Linked DNA regions of Macaca fascicularis. The main gene of each other region encodes a partner of the protein of the gene in region 3 in a complex. Links are inferred from orthologs where the notes say so. Each region holds a gene or a part of one and is shown on either strand. Other genes may lie near its edges. The genes, in order: NSMCE1, NSMCE2, NSMCE3 and SMC5.

Evidence for each region.
Region 1: the proteins of NSMCE3 (region 3) and NSMCE1 are in contact, whole or in part, in a crystal structure (PDB 7DG2), measured with the Xenopus laevis proteins. The link is inferred for Macaca fascicularis from reciprocal best matches to the Homo sapiens genes NSMCE3 and NSMCE1. Residues at the interface, in XP_018121157.1 of Xenopus laevis: Gly57, Glu58, Val60, Gln61, Tyr62, Leu64, Ile65, Lys66, Gln68, Lys69, Val82, Thr100, Gln102, Gln103, Val104, Phe105, Gly106, Phe107, Asn123, Leu125, Gln126, Arg127, Val128, Gly130, Asp131, Gly132, Met133, Arg134, Asp136, Glu137; in NP_001083134.1 of Xenopus laevis: Ile5, Glu7, Gln10, Arg11, Leu13, Gln14, Ala15, Met17, Ser18, His19, Leu30, His33, Leu37, His38, Leu54, His57, Leu58, Pro60, Leu61, Phe62, Met63, Val84, Asn86, Ile88, Thr89, Met91, Ala92, Ser93, Asp94, Gln149.
Region 2: NSMCE3 (region 3) and NSMCE2 share a complex: the UniProt entries of both Homo sapiens proteins name them as parts of the SMC5-SMC6 complex. The link is inferred for Macaca fascicularis from reciprocal best matches to the Homo sapiens genes NSMCE3 and NSMCE2.
Region 4: NSMCE3 (region 3) and SMC5 share a complex: the UniProt entries of both Homo sapiens proteins name them as parts of the SMC5-SMC6 complex. The link is inferred for Macaca fascicularis from reciprocal best matches to the Homo sapiens genes NSMCE3 and SMC5.

What each region holds. Positions count from the first base shown.
Region 1 is NC_088394.1:26,306,300-26,310,234, reverse strand, and holds the end of NSMCE1 (non-structural maintenance of chromosomes element 1 homolog), read left to right. Parts: intron 1-1,350; coding exon 1,351-1,467; intron 1,468-2,345; coding exon 2,346-2,466; intron 2,467-2,951; coding exon 2,952-3,031; 3' UTR 3,032-3,193; downstream 3,194-3,935. UniProt on the Homo sapiens protein: RING-type zinc finger-containing E3 ubiquitin ligase that assembles with melanoma antigen protein (MAGE) to catalyze the direct transfer of ubiquitin from E2 ubiquitin-conjugating enzyme to a specific substrate.
Region 2 is NC_088382.1:134,752,433-134,757,086, forward strand, and holds the start of NSMCE2 (E3 SUMO-protein ligase NSE2), read left to right. Parts: upstream 1-1,671; 5' UTR 1,672-1,789; intron 1,790-4,654. UniProt on the Homo sapiens protein: E3 SUMO-protein ligase component of the SMC5-SMC6 complex, a complex involved in DNA double-strand break repair by homologous recombination. Is not be required for the stability of the complex.
Region 3 is NC_088381.1:8,207,065-8,210,986, reverse strand, and holds NSMCE3 (non-structural maintenance of chromosomes element 3 homolog), read right to left. Parts: upstream 2,442-3,922; 5' UTR 2,328-2,441; coding exon 1,428-2,327; 3' UTR 778-1,427; downstream 1-777. UniProt on the Homo sapiens protein: Component of the SMC5-SMC6 complex, a complex involved in repair of DNA double-strand breaks by homologous recombination. The complex may promote sister chromatid homologous recombination by recruiting the SMC1-SMC3 cohesin complex to double-strand breaks.
Region 4 is NC_088389.1:100,952,981-100,957,478, forward strand, and holds the start of SMC5 (structural maintenance of chromosomes protein 5), read left to right. Parts: upstream 1-1,457; 5' UTR 1,458-1,560; coding exon 1,561-1,745; intron 1,746-4,498. UniProt on the Homo sapiens protein: Core component of the SMC5-SMC6 complex, a complex involved in repair of DNA double-strand breaks by homologous recombination.

The DNA.
Region 1 (3,935 bases), on a different chromosome or scaffold from region 3:
CCCTCTACTGGTGTTCCAGAGTGAATGCACTGCAAGCCCAGGTTATGCAAGCACACCCCCTCCACACTGCACTCTGGGGATGGAGGCAGGAATGGGGTGGGGGGGCTCTACCTGTCAGAAACAGGAGTGGGCCGGGTACGGTGGCTCATGCCTGCAGTCCCAGCACTTTGGAAGACCAAGGTGGGTGGATCACCTGAGGTCGGGAGTTCAAGACCAGCCTGGTCAACATGGCAAAACCCCATCTCTACTAAAAATACAAAATTAGCCGGTGGTGGCACACACCTGTAATCCCAGCTACTCTGGAGGCTGAGGCAGAAGAATTGCTTGAACCCAGAACACGGAAGTTGCATTGAGCCAAGATCATGCCATTGCACTCCACCCTGGGCAACAAGAGCAAAACTCCATCTCAAAAAAAAAAAAACCAAAAAACCAAAAAACAAAAACGGGAGTGACAGCTCTTGCTTGTAAAAATTAGAAAATAACAGGAAAGGCAGCTGAGCACTCGAGTGACTCGCAGGCTTCAGTGACGCCATCTCCTGGCGCGGTTCACGTCCGATGCATGAGCTGACTGTGGAGAAACTGGAATCAGCCTGCATGGGTCCGTGTCCTGGGTCCGTGTCATTTGCCTCCCTTGGGTCTCCCTCAGTGCTGCCTCTCTCCTGTGACCTGGCAGGCGGGTCCGCCTGGGGAGCTGTGTTCTTCATGTGCTTCCTGGTTCTCCCAGGGTGTTCAGGATGCATGATGGGTGACCGCACCCTGGCGTGGGAACCAGGAGGCCTGGCTTCCGTTGGAGGCTCCACTGCCCCTGGTGTGATGGGGCCCGTCTGCCCTCTCCAGACTCCTTCCAGCTCCGTCTGTAAAGTGATGTGGCCGGAAATGATCTCTGAGGGTCCCTACTGCAGTTGGAGGCAGAAATGCTGGGAGGCACCGGGGATGCTGCTTTTTGGGAGTGGGATGGGTGGCGGATGGAAGCAGTGGGTGCTCGGGTTTGTGCCCTGGGGAGACTGACCCCTTGTGGGCCTCAGCGTCCTCATCTGCAGGAGGGCTGTGACTTCCTCGCTCGGGGCTGCTGTGCAGACAGAGCAGTCACGTCTGAAGGCACAACAGGTGCTGAGAAAAGGGCGGTGTCGGGGAGCTGTGCCTCCATGCCTTTTGGGCCTTTGCCTCAGTTTCCCTTGCTGAGGCTCTGCCAGGGGGACGTGGCTGATGCCCGTTGTCTGGGGTTGGTGCAAAGGTGCCTAGACCCTTGTGTCTTCCTGAGCACAGGGCTGTGGGATCACAGAGGGAACAGAGGTAGTGAATGGGGAGAGGGCCTGGCTGAGGGTGGCCACCTCCCGTGTGTCCCTGCAGAAGGAAGGGGAGTTCACCCTGCATGGCCGGGCCATCCTGGAAATGGAGCAATACATCCGGGAGACGTACCCCGACGCGGTGAAGATCTGTAATATCTGTCACAGCCTCCTCATCCAGGTACCCGCTGGGCAGGGCATGGGAGCTCATTGCCGGGCCCTCAGCTCCTGGGGCTCTGCACAGGTACTTCCCGAATCCTGGCTCTGGACCCAGCCCTCCTGCACTGCCGGCGCCTCCTCCCACAAGAGCTCCTGGAGGCCATCTCCCAGGACGTGTCAGAGGATGCCTCCCCACGGTGGCCTGCAGGGACGCACTGCCTCTCTCCTCCCTGGTTCTGCTGCTGGGGTCCAAGGGCTCTCGCTTACTTTATTCTTCTCAGGAAGGTTGAGTGTTCTGTGCAACCTGCATTATTTTGGCAGTTTTGTGGCAGAGTATTTGGCGGAGTGTCTCTATCAATTGCTGCTTTCCGCAGTGGTCTACTCCAGTTTGCAGGGCTTTGCAACCACTGAACCAGCGTGGACACTGATGTGTCTTTCAGTTTCTGTCGTTTTGCAGCTGTAGCTGTTTGTAATTGCAATTGCTCTCATGGGCCTCGTACACCTGTATCCTTGGGCACATGGTGATTATTTCCTTGGGCGGGGTTTCTGGGACAAAGTGCAATTTTTTTTTGAAAGCTTTTGATCCACATCAGCAAATAAGCTTCTGAAAAGCTGTGGCTGTCCACATGCCACCTGCAGGATCTGAGTGCGGGAGCTTGCCAGCCCTCGGCTTCTGTCACTGCGTTCATGTGTTCAGAATTGTTTGGTAAAACCCACTGCAACAAACAAGCAAACAAAAGACTCCCCTGCACTAAGGCGTTTGGGATTTTCAGTATTAATCTGGGGACTGGAAGATAACCCGATGCCACCAGCTGCCCATTTTCCTTGTGGCTTCCCCGGAGGTTTGCAGAACACAGAGGTGTGCACCAGCTCTGCCGTCATTGGCCTTTCTTGTTTCAGGGTCAAAGCTGCGAAACCTGTGGGATCAGGATGCACTTACCCTGCGTGGCCAAGTACTTCCAGTCAAACGCCGAACCGCGCTGCCCCCACTGCAACGACTACTGGCCCCACGAGATCCCAGGTGCGTGGGCCCTGAGGTGCTCATGGGAAGGGCTGGGCCAGCAGGATGCAGGGCCTGGTGCTGGGGAAGCCCTTGGAGGCAGGGCCCTGAAAGGCTCCAGGGTGCGTGGGGGTCCGCATTAGCAGCCTGAATCCTAGAAGCAGCCACCGCAGGAAGTAAAGGCTGAGCTGCGTGCACCGTTCCAGAGGACTTTCTAGAACCCAGCAGAAATTCCAACGCTTATGAGCATTTTGTCTAGACAAGGCTCCCTCTCTGGCAGCCCTCTCAGGAGGGGGATGTGACAGCCATGTCCGCAGCTCCCTCAGTGTGTTCCTCTCTGAATTGGGGCTAACTCTGCCTCACGGGCTGGGGAGGGTTGGCAGTGAAGAATGGTGTAGACCTAGGACAGAGTCCTTGGCACAGGAGACGTAGCTGCTGGCTCGAGCTGGTGCTCCTGTGCTGCCAGCCCCTCCGTTCACTGTCTTTCCTGCCTTTTCTGCCTACAGAAGTCTTCGACCCTGAGAAGCAGAGGGAGGCTGGTATCTCAAAATCGAACAAAAAGTCCCTGCGGTCCAGGCAGCATTAGCCGTCGTGCTCTGCTGAGGGACTGGCTGCCTTGGGTGGCCTGATCGCCGCAGCCCTTCTTGGAAGAGAGGCGTCCGTGTTTCAGGTTCCATGCGAGTCACCTCTTTCTTGTTAATGTGGACTGTCCACAGCTTTGGAATAAACTGTCCTGGAAGTTGCTGCAGCCCCTGTCTGTGTTCTCGAGCCTGTGTGTGAGGCTCTGTGTCGTGGCCTTGCCTTCTTTCCTGGAGTTCGGTCATCACTCAGAACCCCTGGGTTTGGGCTCCAGCAGGTGAAACCAGCAGAGCCCCCAGCAACGGCTCAGGACAGCTCACTGTCCTTGCTCAGGGCAGCCTTGCCTCCAGTCCCAGCTGTGACCAGCTGTCCCAGCAGGATTGGGCTGGCCCACACCTGGATGTGTGAACCTTGGCCTCCCCAACTCCCCAGTCTGGACTCTCCCCTGGCCCAAGGTGCCACTGGCCTGAATGGGCTGAGGCTGGGCGTTTGGGCGGGACACGTGCTCTCCCTCCCTGGACCCTCTGTTCCCTGTGGGTGCCCGGCAGCCCCGCCATCCAGCAGCCCCAGCCGGGACCGGGAGTCAGCCTCAATGCTTCCTCTCCCTGACCCTCCTGCATCCCACTGTCACCAGATCCTGTCCAGCCCAGCTGCCAGTAGCCCTCCGGCCCTGCCGCTGCTGCCTCAGGCTGAGCGCCAGCCCCGGCCCACACCCTGCCTCCATGCTCCCTGTGGAAGACCCCTGGACGCCCCCACTGCTGCAGCAGGGCTGTGGCCCCTGGTGAGGCCCCTGCTCGTCCGTCACCGCCTCCCCCCACCCACTGCTCAGGGTGCAGTGCTTCCTTCGTCAGCTCGGGAGCCTCTGCACAGAGCGCCCTGGGCCTGCGCACCCTCCCCTCTGGTGTCCGGCT
Region 2 (4,654 bases), on a different chromosome or scaffold from region 3:
ATATTTTCCATGTAACAAATGGAATTTCCATAATTTGCACAAATATAATTTGGCTAGAGTAATTGTTAAATAGCCCCCTCGTTGGCTGAAGGACTAGTCCTGAAGAACAGAATCTAAGAACCATCATTAAAAATGCCTAATCAAGTTGCAGCTAAGAGGTATGTGGATGGCTTTACAAGGTGTTAAGACTCAGTTAAGTCTTAAAAAACCACTTTAGAATTAGGTCCAATTAAACTCTGTAGAAGAAGCTATGGTAAATTATCCTTTCAGAGGTTCTCTTCGTGCTAGGGATTAAGAAAACTTGAAGATCAGCTCTCTCAATACAGGCTGTATTACTATCGGCATGAAATCCAGAGATCCCACTATATTCTCTTATTTTCTTTTACAAGCGCCAGTAACTTCATTTTTAAGAATTTGGCGTGGAACTGTGATTTTCAGTTTGGGAAGTAATCCTAATCAAAAGACATGCTTTCAAGAATGAGGCATGGCATCATTATACCAATTACCCAGCGTGCAGAATAATATTTCTTAAGGAAATCGAATTGTCGTGGACAAACACTGTTTACCCCCTTCAGAGGACAAAAGAAGGTAGGTCTATATTTAGCCTTTCGCAAAACCTCAGTTCCATAAAGGAAGCACTGATCTCCACAAATCCATTATCACAAACAAAATATAATGGTTGTCGGTCAAAATAAATGCAAGCTGCATATGTTTTCCAGAAAAGTTCTGACATGAGGCTTAACCTGAAATCCTGGGAAAGGCAGGTGAAGGACAATTAGAGAAGGTGTCCCTTGTTGTGCGCAAAGACAGGAAAACTTCTCCCTCACTACCCTTCACCTATGTTTGAGGGAGCTCCATGCGCTTGCAATCAGGAGACCCAGTTCTACGACTCTGTGACTTTTTTTCTTTTTCCTGTCCGATCATAGAGGAATCAGGGCCTTGGGAACATTTCCCCCCCCCCCCCCCCCCCGCCAAATGCAAAGGATTTTGGCATTAGCACAGGTGAAGGCATTAAGACGCAGCGAGCAGCAATGACTTGCCCAAACTCACAGCCCATGGCATAACTAGAATGCAAATCCAGGTCCGTCAGGCTGTAAAAGTCCTCACTACTAGCCTTTCAGTTTTCTCAAAAGCAAAGAGAGAAATAACGACGACATCCACACTGCAGTGTTCCCGGAAACTTGGAAGGATGAGATTCGGACCAAGCAGCCAGCTGAACGGTGCTTCCTAAAGCGAGGAAGGAGTGTGCAAAATGAGTTCCCCCTAAGCGGAGACGAAGAGCTGGACTGCAGCCCCCGCCCCAGAAAGCCCCTAAGCCCTCCATCCCGAGTCCCCCGTCCAGGCTGCACGCGACGCTGGAGACCTCCCCAGGGCCAGCACGGCCCAGCGGGGAGGTGAAAGGGGCCATGCAAAAATGGGGCGCGCTCATCCCATCCCCACTCACCTGTCAGCCGGGCCGCGCCAGCGGCGCACGCGCAGGGCAGGAGGTTGCGCGCGGAGTCGGCACCCAGGTTCCACCCCTCCCTCACGGCGGCGGTCCTCTTCTATCCCCAGTCCCGGACCTGGAACGGGTCAGAGCCGGGCTTCCGCCCCTGACTTCCAGGACGGTCACATGACCGAAGCGGCGGTGAGCAGGGAGGGGCATCATGTGACCACTCGCCGGCGACGGATGATGACGCAAGAGCCCGCGCTCACTTTTCAGCTACAGGCGAAGGGGGCTGAGGAAAGGAGGTGGGTACAAGTAGGGAAAGTTGGGGTGCCACCAGACGGAGACAACTCGGACAACCAGGTAGGGAAGAAGCGGGGGACGGCAATGGGGAAGGTGGCGGGAATTGTCGCCTCCCTCAGGGACACTCCACGGGGACCCCGAGCCGGGAATTCGTCGACCTGGATTATGGTTGTGGCCCTTTTCACGCCACAGTAGTGAGTCTGGGACAGTTTACCCTCCTGTCCGAGGCGCCATCTCTCCATCCGTTAGCCACAAGTGTGTAAGGGCAAGATCACGAATTTTTGATCCAAATAGATGTGGTTTGAACTGACTTTAAAAGTAAGGCCACGGGAAGGTCGTTTGAATAAACTCTCTGGACCTCAGTTTCCTCTTCACTTATGTAGATTGCAGTGAGAATTAGCGATAAGGAGAATGAAGTGCCAGGACACCAGTTTATGGCATTCTGTAGGTGACCGAGAAATGATGATGTCTGTTGTTATTTTTGTAACTCGCCAAATCTTTATTGGTCCCCTATTTTGTGTGAAGAACTGCTTTATATGCAATAGAATATGTCAGGGTTCTAGTTTAAGGAGCTTTCAGTGTAAAGAAGCTGCAGACATGTGAGCAAATAGTTGTGATGAGTTTCATAATGGGAGTGTGTTGTGTACATGTGCATGTGATAGGAATAATGGTAGCATGGGGGAGGGAACAAGCAATTGTATGAGAAGGATTCAGAGAGAAGGGTATAGCCTTGCATGCTGAAAAAGGAGAGGCAGCTCTGGCTGACTTGTACAAGGTTCCCGTGGATTTAAAGGAAGTCAGCATATTGTCTATAAATAACATGCAGAGAAAAAACTCAGGAAATGCACAACTTGTTCTAAACTTTCTTGGAGATCATAGGTATTGGGAAGAAAAGATCAGTGTTATTACATGGGAAGGGATCCAAGAGAGATTGATTTAAATCAGTTATTCTCAACTGATGCGCTATTGACATTTTAGGCCAGATAATTTTTTCCTGTGGGGTGGGGGTGAGGGCTGTCCTGTGTATTGTAGGACGTTTGAGAGTATCCCTGGCCTCTGCCCACTAGATGCCAACCATAATGTCTACAGATATTGCTACATGTCCCTTGGGAGAGGGGTAAAATCTTTCTTGGTTGAGAACCACTTAAACCAAGCCATGAGAGATGGTGTCTTAGTCAGTGTGGGCTTCTATAACAAAATGCCATAAACTAGGTAGTTTACGAACAACGGAAATTTATTTCTCACAGTTCTGGAGGCTGGAAAGTCCAAGGTCAGGGTGCCAGCAGATTTAGTGTCTCGCAAGGGCCTGTTTCCTGGTTCATAGGTGGCTTCTTGCTGTGTCCTCACACGGTGGAATGGCAAAGCAGCTCTCTGGAGCATCTTCTAAAAGGGCACTAATTTTATTCATGAAAGTGGGCCTAATCGCCTCCCAAAAGGCCCCACCTCCTCATACCATCACCTTAGGAGTTAGGATTTCAACATATAAATTTTGGGTGACACAAACATTCAGACTTTAGCATATGGGTAAGATGTGGGCAGATAGAAAACTGAAGAAAGAGCCTGGTACGGTGGCTCACACCTGTAATCCCAGCACTTTGGGAGGCCAAGGAGGGCGGATCACTTGAGGTGGGGTGTTTTGAGACTAACCTGGTCAACATAGCGAAACCCTGTCTCTACTAAAAATACAATAAATAAATAAATAAATAAATAAATAAATAAATAAAATAACCAGTGTGTTCTGGCGCACACCTGTAATCCCAGCTACTCAGGAGGCTGAGGCAGGAGAATCCCTTGAACCCAGGAAGCAGAGGTTGAGGTGAGCCGAGATCATGCCACTGCACTCCAGCTTGGACGACAGAGCGAAACTCTGTCTCAAAAAATAAATAAATAAAAAGAAAGAAAACTGAAGAGATGGTTTTCTCATGGTGGGAGCAGGATGAACAAAGTCCTTTTTTCCTTTTTGGAGACAGCGTCTCACTCTTATTGCCCAGGCTAGAGTGCAGTAGCATGATCATAGCTTACTGCAGCCTTGGACTCCTGGACCCAAGGGGTCCTCCCACCTCGGCCTCCCAAGGGGCTAGGACAATAGGTGCAAGCCACCATGTCTGTGTTGTTTGGTTTTTTTTTTTTGAGATGGGGTCTCGCTGTGTTGCCCAGGCTAGTCTTGAGCTCCTGGCCTCAAGCAGTCTTCCTGCCTTGCCCTTTCAAAGTGCTGGGATTATAGGCATGAGCCACCGCGCCCAGCCTGAACAAAGTCTGGAGGTGAGTTCAAGAATATTGAGTATGAAGGGGAGAAGGAAACACGAGAGCTGTGCATCTGACCGAAGCAGTTTATTCATTTATTGATAGTTTCAGAGCACTTGCTGTTTATGAAGCACTGCGAACATCTTGCAAGATAGTTACTAACAAAGTAGAGTTACTGCCAAAGGCTATAATTATATCAAAGAGGATGCTGTTAGAGTCAGAGAAAGGAGTTGTCTTTGACTTGTACTTAGCTGTATTTATTGGGAGGAATTGAGAAAAGTATGTCTATTCCATCTTTCTGCACCATCCATTGTCTTTGCTTTTCAATTCAGTCTGTCTTAATCTTTTCCCTACTCCAGAATTACAGAAAAGCATGGTCATGTTTTCCTTGGTCCTCTGCAAGAGTGAAGTTTCACTCAAGTAATGTGAGTTTTGCATTCAACCAAGTAGTGACAACTACTGTTTGGTATATACTTTCCATTTATACTGGATTGCATTAATCTTCATAGATATTGTGTCTTTGTTCAAGCTACCATAACAAAATACCATAGACTGGGTGGCTTAAACAACAGAAATTCTGGAGGCCAGAAGTTCAAGGTGAGGTTGCCAGCATGGTTGAATTCTGGTGAGGACTTTCTTCTTGGCTTGTAGATGGCTTCTCTCTTTATGTGTCTTCACGTG
Region 3 (3,922 bases):
AGTTCATCTAGTCCATAAAACAAACTATTATATAGCTATAATTTTTTTTCATTTTACAGGTAAAGAAACTGAGATTCAGACAGCTTAAAACCTACCACCATATCACCATGCTGACAAGTTAGCATGAGCCGTAATTCAAATTCAGTTTGCCAGACAGCCCCAAGACCCACACCTTTTCCCTATACCTAACTCCCTACGAGGTTGATCTTATGTCCTGCTCTCACTGTTCTATGTGGGCTATACTCACCATACACTTTATACTTATTTCCCCATACAATAGAGTCAGACTAGCGGAATATACCTTTTGAACCAGTAATTGCTCTCCTAGGAATCATTTGGAAAACAAGATAAAGAAAAGTTGTATTTAAAAAGTGGCAGCTCCAGACCGAGAATAAAAAATAAAAACATTAAAGAATAACAAGCAAATTCCTCCACATCAGGGACTAAACCCATTTTACAGGTCAAGAAACATCTGCATACAAACTAAGGAACCTACGTAAATTCCTATACTAGTGACGGTGGGGCCAGGATCTGAACCCAGGCAGTCTGATTCCCAAGCAGGCATGGTTAATGGTTACGCTATTGTTTTATAAGCCTTTTTGGTATCCACAGTAGAAATATATTTTACCTCATGATCCTGTACACACACACACAAAAGTAAAACAACTTCTACAAAACAACATTGACCTCAATATGTTGCAAAAACTTTAAGACGCTGATTTCGTCATGAAATTGTCTCATGGCCCACGATTTAAAAAACACACAATGCTTCAGTGCTTCAAAAATACAGTATTTATTGTAATAACTAGAGTAGCATGTAAAAAAAACTAAGTGGAACTGCATGTTTAGCAACACAGCTGAGTAATTATGAATATAAACAATTGCTATTTGGAGAAAATACACCACGTTCATTGCTTGGAACCATGAATAATACTTACATATGTAGGAAATATAGAAAAAATAAAATAGGTTAAGGTAATAAGGATATAGGCAATTACGTTTTTATTTTTAATTTTATAAAGACTTTTATTTTTCCTTACAAACTGGGATGCTTAAGAGACCCGATAATAGCTACTTTTTTATTTTCTTGGCACCAAAGCAACTTACTTATGTGTTCCTTCTGGCATATCTGTTTCAGATCATAGTCAAGTTTTCCAATTCGTTTTACTAAGCTAGGAAAATTTTTTATACCAAAAAAAGTAAAATCAAAGCAAAACAAATGCTCCTTTGTTTATAGATGAAAATCTGGAACCAAATAACACAACATTAAAAGAACAAAACTTTGCAAACACATCCTAAAGCTACACACATTGAAACGCTACAGAAATACGCTTCCTGGGTTCGTTCTCCCTTCCCCCGCTCCTCTGCACTGTGCCTTTGGGTCTCAGACCCTTGTCCCGGGGGTCCCTCTGAATCCACCTCAGATTTCAAGAGGATGGGGCTGAGCCACTGGGCTGAGGTCTGGCCCTGTTCTCCTCATCTGCCAACGCCTCACAGTACTGCGCTGGCCAGTCCTTGGGGTCTTGATTATGGACTTTGGCCACAAACTTAAGAACTTTCATCTTGCTGGTTTCCAGGTTGGTTCGCGGGCCCCACTGGAACTCGTAGTCCACGGGGTCGGTGTGGGGTATCCGCCGGTATTCCAGGTAACGTTGTCGCACAAAGTCCTCGGTAATGAGTTTCTTTGGATCTCCGAAAATGAAATGCTTCTTGGTGGGGTAGACCCCTAAGCGCCGCAGAAAGTCCCAGACTTCAGTCTCCTTGACGGTGTTGCCCTTCATAAAGATGAGCCCCAGGACGATCATCAGGAGGCCCGTAGTGGGCGTGCCTTGGTCACCCCTCACCTCGGCATCCTCCTCCACCGGCTCCAGGGTGTTGATGAGGATGTAAGTGTTGCTCTTGGGTTCAAGTTCCACCAGCTTATAACCGAAGACGTACTGGAGGCGCTCGGCGGCCCGTTTGAGGAGGTCGGGGAAGATGTCCTTGTAGTCCCCGATGACGTGCTTCAGTATGTCGGCCCGCTTGATCGGAATCTTCTTCTGGTCCTTAATCAGTAAGAACTGCACCAGCTCGGACACTTTCAGCTCCTGCTGCTTCTGGGTCCTGGGGCCCACGGCGGGGGAGGCCTGGGACCGGCGGGCGCCCTGCGACCCCTGCGAGCCGCCCGGCCCCCGGGAAGTGCTCGGGGCCTCCTCTGCGAAGCCGTCTCTGCGGGCCCGGGCGTGTTCGCCCGCCCGCGAGGCCCCGGAGTTTCCGCCACGGCTCCAGTCGCTGTCCCTCTCGGCCTGGCCGCCAGAGCGACCCCGGTTCCTCGGTTTTTGCAACATGTCACCGGCGACGCGTACCGGTGCACACTCCGGCAAGCAAGCAGCCGCGGCTGGGATCGCGGGTCGGCGACCCGCTAAGGCCGCTGCCTGGGCGGGGCCCCAGAAGGGGCGCGCAGTGTCGGCTGAGACTGCGTGCCGCGTCATGAAGCCTGCGCCTTGCGTCACGGCGGCTGGGCGGTGCGCCTGCGCGGCTGCGGGGCTGGGGGTACCAAAAGCATCCGAGATTTCTGTGCAGCCCTGCAGGTCTGGTCGGTGAATTTCAGTATAGCGAAGTGTTGTTCTTACTAAACCATGCAAGCAGAGAACGAGAACCGAAACTCCTAAACAAGTGTGTCGCTAAATTCAGGACCAGACAGGCTCAGGCAAGTTTTACAGACGGTATTATGAGTTTCTAATTCTAAATCGGGAGCATTTGTAAATGAAAAGATCTCACAGGATGAATGTGTGAGAAAGAAAAAAAAAAAGGTGAAGAGGAAGGTACGACCGTGGAAGTAAAAGCATTTATTTCTACACAACATGTAGAAGGATATAAAAAACCCAGAGGGCTCTTAGTTTTCGTCCCTCCGCTCAATTTTATACCCTCCAACCCACTGCCCCCAGTTACTTTCTCTAATGCCCCGTGGAGTTTGTTAAAAACAAAAGTCTGCTGCAGGCTTTCCGCGCAAGCAGGACTTCGGTTTCACTATTTCCGTATGTGTATTCTCTGCATTAAACTCCTTTAGCTAGACAACTATGAGAAAACCCCACAAAATTTGTCAATATTAAGTAAATGTTTTAGCTTGGTCAAATGAGTTTATCCTTTGGAAAACAACTGCCTTCAGCTCACAGCCACAATTTTAGCAGAAATGCGTAAGAGGAATGCTGCAAACGTGCACTCTCAAGAGATTACCACTTAATTTTGGGCATCACTGATCAAGAATTGCAATAATGTGGATCTCTTAAATTTCTTAATTCATAATATATTAGCTTTGAGAAAGAAAAGAGAACACAGGGGTATTTATCCCTCATCTATGATGTGTGCAGTCTATGTATATTTTAATTGTGCAACTCAAGTAGCCAAAATGAGTCATTTCATTAACTCAAACCATCAGCAATCTGCTGCCATTACTTCTACAGATCTTAGCAAATTTGTTTCTTCTCTATTTATTGACTTGCAAAGAAGAAACTGAATTTCCCTGTGTCTTTTTAAAGCTACCCAGAAAGTGGATAAACTCTTCAAAGAACCAAATCGAGTTCCTCTTTAATGCAAATATATTCAAAGGAAAGCAATTTAGAACACATTATCTGAATAATAGCATCAAACACAACCTTATTAAAATTTTGTTAAATGTTAGTAGCATAACACATTTGTTTGTAATTCAGTAGGAAAATGCAATCTGATAATGGCACTGGAACTGCTATAGTAAATGTAAAATCATATTCCATGAACTAATGCAAGTATGCTAAAATCTGATACGCAGTGAGTAATAACTTACTGTTCCACACAAGATACAACTATATCCTCAGGCATCAAGCTTAATGACAAAGGCCTACTACGAAAAACAAATATATTATCAAGGTATTCATTTTTTTACAATGAGAAAATTCATCTGCTT
Region 4 (4,498 bases), on a different chromosome or scaffold from region 3:
ATCACCACCTCTAAGAGACCTTCCGTACCTCCCACCCATCAGGTTCATTTTGTTTTCTTCCTAACACCTGTCACAGTCTGAAATTATCCTAATCATTTGTTGTGTCAACCTTAAGTAGTGAAATTTATAAAATAACATTAAGTAGAGTTTATTCTAACGCAAAGCTTGAGGACAGCCACCTGGAAACACCAACTCCAAACAAATAAGGTCAATGTTCCAAAGTGAAGTTAAGGTTTCATTTACGTAGGCAGAAGCAGAGAAGGTTCAGCAGGAGTACATTTTCAATACAAGACCAAAGCATAAAACACAGCGACTAGATTAGTTATAGATATCTCCATTCCAAGGAGGATAACTATATTAATCTATGAAGAGGGATAGTGATCTGAGGGGGTCTTACCTCTGTCTCTGTTTGGTCTTCCTGATTATTTACAGGAAAAAACAAGGCAGACATTGCAGCTGTACGCCATAGGACTCAGGCCCCGTAGCCACATTCTTCGCAAGGCTCTGAATAATTTCAAGTTCCAACAGCTTTAAGTTGGAATTTTTTAATTTCAGTTGATTCACTTGTTCTTTTCCTGTCTCCCACAACAGAAAATAAGTTCCCAGGGATGCAACCTTGGCAGGCTTCTAAACTGCCACGGCTCCAGTTTCTTGTAGGTTAGACACTCATTATTAGTTGAAGGAAAGATCTAGGCAGGCCTCGGTGCGCCGCCTCCTCTTTAAAGCGAGGGCTTACTAGATGAATGTGAGCAGACGGAAGCAGAACCACCCTGTTAATGAAGGCTGCGCATTCTAGCTCAGGGATTTCTAGAAACCTCGGGGGCGGAAGTTTAACCAGAGAATTAGGAAGCAAGGAGCAGAGAAGCAATGAGGATAACCTGTGCAGTGTAGTCGTTCCACGAGTTTGAGAACGCCTAGCACGATGCCTTCACGGAGCGTCGGGCAGAGTTATTTGAGAGTATTTCTTTTTCGGGGTTTTTGAGACAGGGACCTGATTTGAAGCAACGGGGAAGAAAACCAAGAGGACGAAGAGCCAAGGATGGGCGTGCCCGGGAGCTCTCAGGTGGGCACCTGGAAGGGGTGGGAGCAAGCAGGGCCTAACGTACCCCTGGCCTTGGCGGCCCTGGACGCCCCTGGTGCCCCCCACAGCTGCCTCCCACCACACATGACTGAGGCTCGGGAAGCAATAAAGTGGCTTTCAAAATACTAAATGCAATTGACATCTTTTCCTGAGTGGAAAAAAAACAAAAAAGGATCTGAATGCTGAAATATACAGAGAAGAAACTCCCGTTGCCACGTCCCCCGAGGTCCCCACTCAGTCCCGTCTGCTGCTCCGCCCTTAGTCGGGCCCTAGTTCTGCGAGGCGGAGAGCAGGAGGCGCTGGGTGGGCCCGCTGACGCTCCGGATCTGAACTGAGCAGGCGCGGCGCGAGATCGCGGGAGCGAGCGCGCGGGAGCAGTTCGCGGCAGTTCGCGCGGGAGCCGGGCGCTGGGGCGCTTGGGCGCCTGGGCTGCCGGACGGTGGGAACGGAAGTCGCTGTGGGGCGCTGAGAAAGCCAGGATGGCGACTCCAAGCAAGAAGACGTCAACTCCAAGCCCCCAGGCTTCCAAGAGAGCTCTCCCGAGAGACCCTTCGTCGGAGGTCCCGAGCAAGAGGAAGAATCCGGCCCCGCAGCTGCCGCTGGTGCAGTCGTCCGGGCCTTTCGTGGAGGGCTCTATCGTCCGTATCTCGATGGAGAACTTCCTGTGAGTGGCCGGGAGGCCGCGCCGCGGGTGTGGAGGCGTGCGGTCCAGCAGGCCCCGGGGCGCCGGCTGCGCGCGGGCGTGGGCGTGTGGGTGTGTACCTGGCTTGTGGGTCTGGCCTTGAATTCGTGCCGGGGTTCCCATGAGGATTTTTCTACGAAGGCTGTGGAGATTGACGTGTATGATGTAGATGTGTGCCTTACGTGATGTGGTTTTTAAATTTAGTCCGCCAAGGTTTTCCAAAAGCGTCTTGTAGCAGGTAGTAGTTGTACGAGGGAGTAGGTCTCTGCCCGCTGGGAGTCGCGATCCATAGCGGCCCTGGTCTGTAATTCACAGAAGTATTGTCCCCGGGAATTTACGAGGAGGCAACAGTTAATTCGGCGTGGTGGGGATGCTGTGGCAGATTCTTAGGGTAGGCATTTGCCACAGAGGAGTAGATAAGACGGTAAAGGTTGTTTGGGATGGGAGGTTACAAGTACAAAAAAATTAAACCTTCCTGGCAATTGTTGGATCTTGACCCTTGACCCCTCTAAACCCAGCTTTCTTCCCTGGTTCCTCCCTCTCTCCTTCAGACAACTAGTTATCACTTTAGAATTTAGTAAGTTTTAAATATATCATGTATTTGTCTAGCACCTCACAGTGAATCTGTTCCAAGTCGTCTTTTTTTTTTTTTTTGAGACGGAGTTTCGCTCTTGTCGCCCACGGTGGATGGAGTGCTGTGGCGCTACCTCGGCCCGCTGCAACTTCTGCCTCTCGGTTTCAGGCTCCTGGGTCAGCCTCCCGAGTAGCTGGGACTGTAGGTGCGCGCCACCACGCCCGGCTAATTTTTGTTTTTGAGACGGAATCTCATACTGTCGTCCGGGCTGGAGGATAGTGGCGCAATCTCGGCCCACTGCAACCTCCGCCTCCCAGTTTCAAGCGATTCTCCTGCCTCACCGAGTAGCTGGGATTACAGGCACCCCCCACCACGCCCAGCAATTTTTTTGTTGTTGTTGTTGTATTTTTAGTAGACACGGGGTTTCACCATGCTGACCAGGCTGATCTGGAACTTTTGACTTCAGGGGATCTGCACGCCCCCATGGTGCTGGGATTATAGGCGTGAGCCACCGTGTCCGCCCTGAAGTCTTTTTTAAACTTGCACATAGTGGCATAAGGATAACAGAATTGTATTTTAACAATACTACCTTTTTTGTTTTCAGGCACCTGTTGTGTGCCAGGTACACAGTGCACTCATTCTTTCTTCATAACAACTCTATCTTGATAATTTCCATTGCTGAAAGAAGCTCAGTAGGTTGTTTTGCCCAGTTTTACACAGCTGTTAAGTAGTTGCATTGCTATTTGAATCCAGATCAGGAAAGATAAATGTAATCAAATGAGTTAGATACCATAACAACATATATATCAGGATCCTTCACAAAGGATGAAGTGGTTAGTTTTGTCCACGAGTATGAGAAAGGGCTTTGTAGAGAAGATATGAAAGTCTTTGTTCTTGCTCTGTTGCCCACGCTGGAGCTCAGTGGCATGATCAGGGCTCAGTGAAGCCTGTACCTCCCCTTCTCAAGTGATCCTCCTACCTCAGCCTTTCAGGTAGCTGGGACTATAGGCGCATACCATACCTGGCTAATGTTTTAAAAATTTTTTGTAGAGATGGGGTGTCACCATGTTGCCCAGGCAAGTCTCGAACTTCTGGGCTCAAGCAACTCACCTCGGCCTCCCAAAGTGCTGGGATTACAGGCGTGAGCCACTGCACCCGCCTGAGAAGATAGGAAAGTCTTAAAAGAAGTGAAGAGCATTGAAGACAGAAGGAACGGTCTGAAATAGTTTGGTATATTTAGAAAGTGTCAAGTGTTTTAGTAAGGCAAGAGTATAGGATGTGAGTGAGTATTTGGACAGGGTAAGCAACCATTGAGAGACCTGTATGTTTACTATGCTAAGAAGTTCCAGCAGCATCCTGTAGGCAGCCACGGTGTGTTTTCAACAGGGAATGACATGTGTTTTATGTTATTCTGGAAGCACTGCGGAGGATGATTTAGAAAGGGTGCAAGATTGGAAGCAAAAAGACAATACGAAGGCAAGAGATGATCAGAGTGTGAAGGAATGAGATTTGGCAGGATCCAGCTACAGAATAATTGAGGCATGGGGGAAAGGGAGGAATGCAGCATTTTTCCCAGGTGTTTGCCTTAGCTAATTGGTCAGATGCTATTCAGAAGAGAGAGCAGTTTGAGGAGAATAATAAATGCCTCTTAGATCCTGTGATTTGAAGTTTCCTTTGGAGTATCTAAGAGAGATGTTCTATAGGCAGAATATAAGAGTCTGGAGCTTAGAGGAAAGTATGAACGGATGAGAGATTTGGGAGTCATGCATACAGGTGATTGATGAAGTTGCAGAACTGGTTATGATTGCTCAATAGGAATTATAAATTGAAGGACTAGAAGACCATGTACAGGGTCTTGGGAGAATGCCTGCTTTTAAGGGTGAAAGGAGGAAGGACTCAAAGCCAGAAGGAACTATTCAGGGAGGTAAGATGAAAACAATGGGAGGCAATTATCAGAGAAGCCAAGGAAAAACAATGTTTCAAAAATATCACCTGCTACATTGAAGTCAGATAGCGGGGTTGAAAAGAGCCCACTGTATTTAGCAATTGAGGAATCTTTGACCTTTTAATGAAGCAGTGGAAGCAGAAAACTTTGCAGGCCATAGAAGAATGAATGAGGGTGAGAAAGTAAAACTTGGATGTAAAGAGAAGAAAGAAAAAG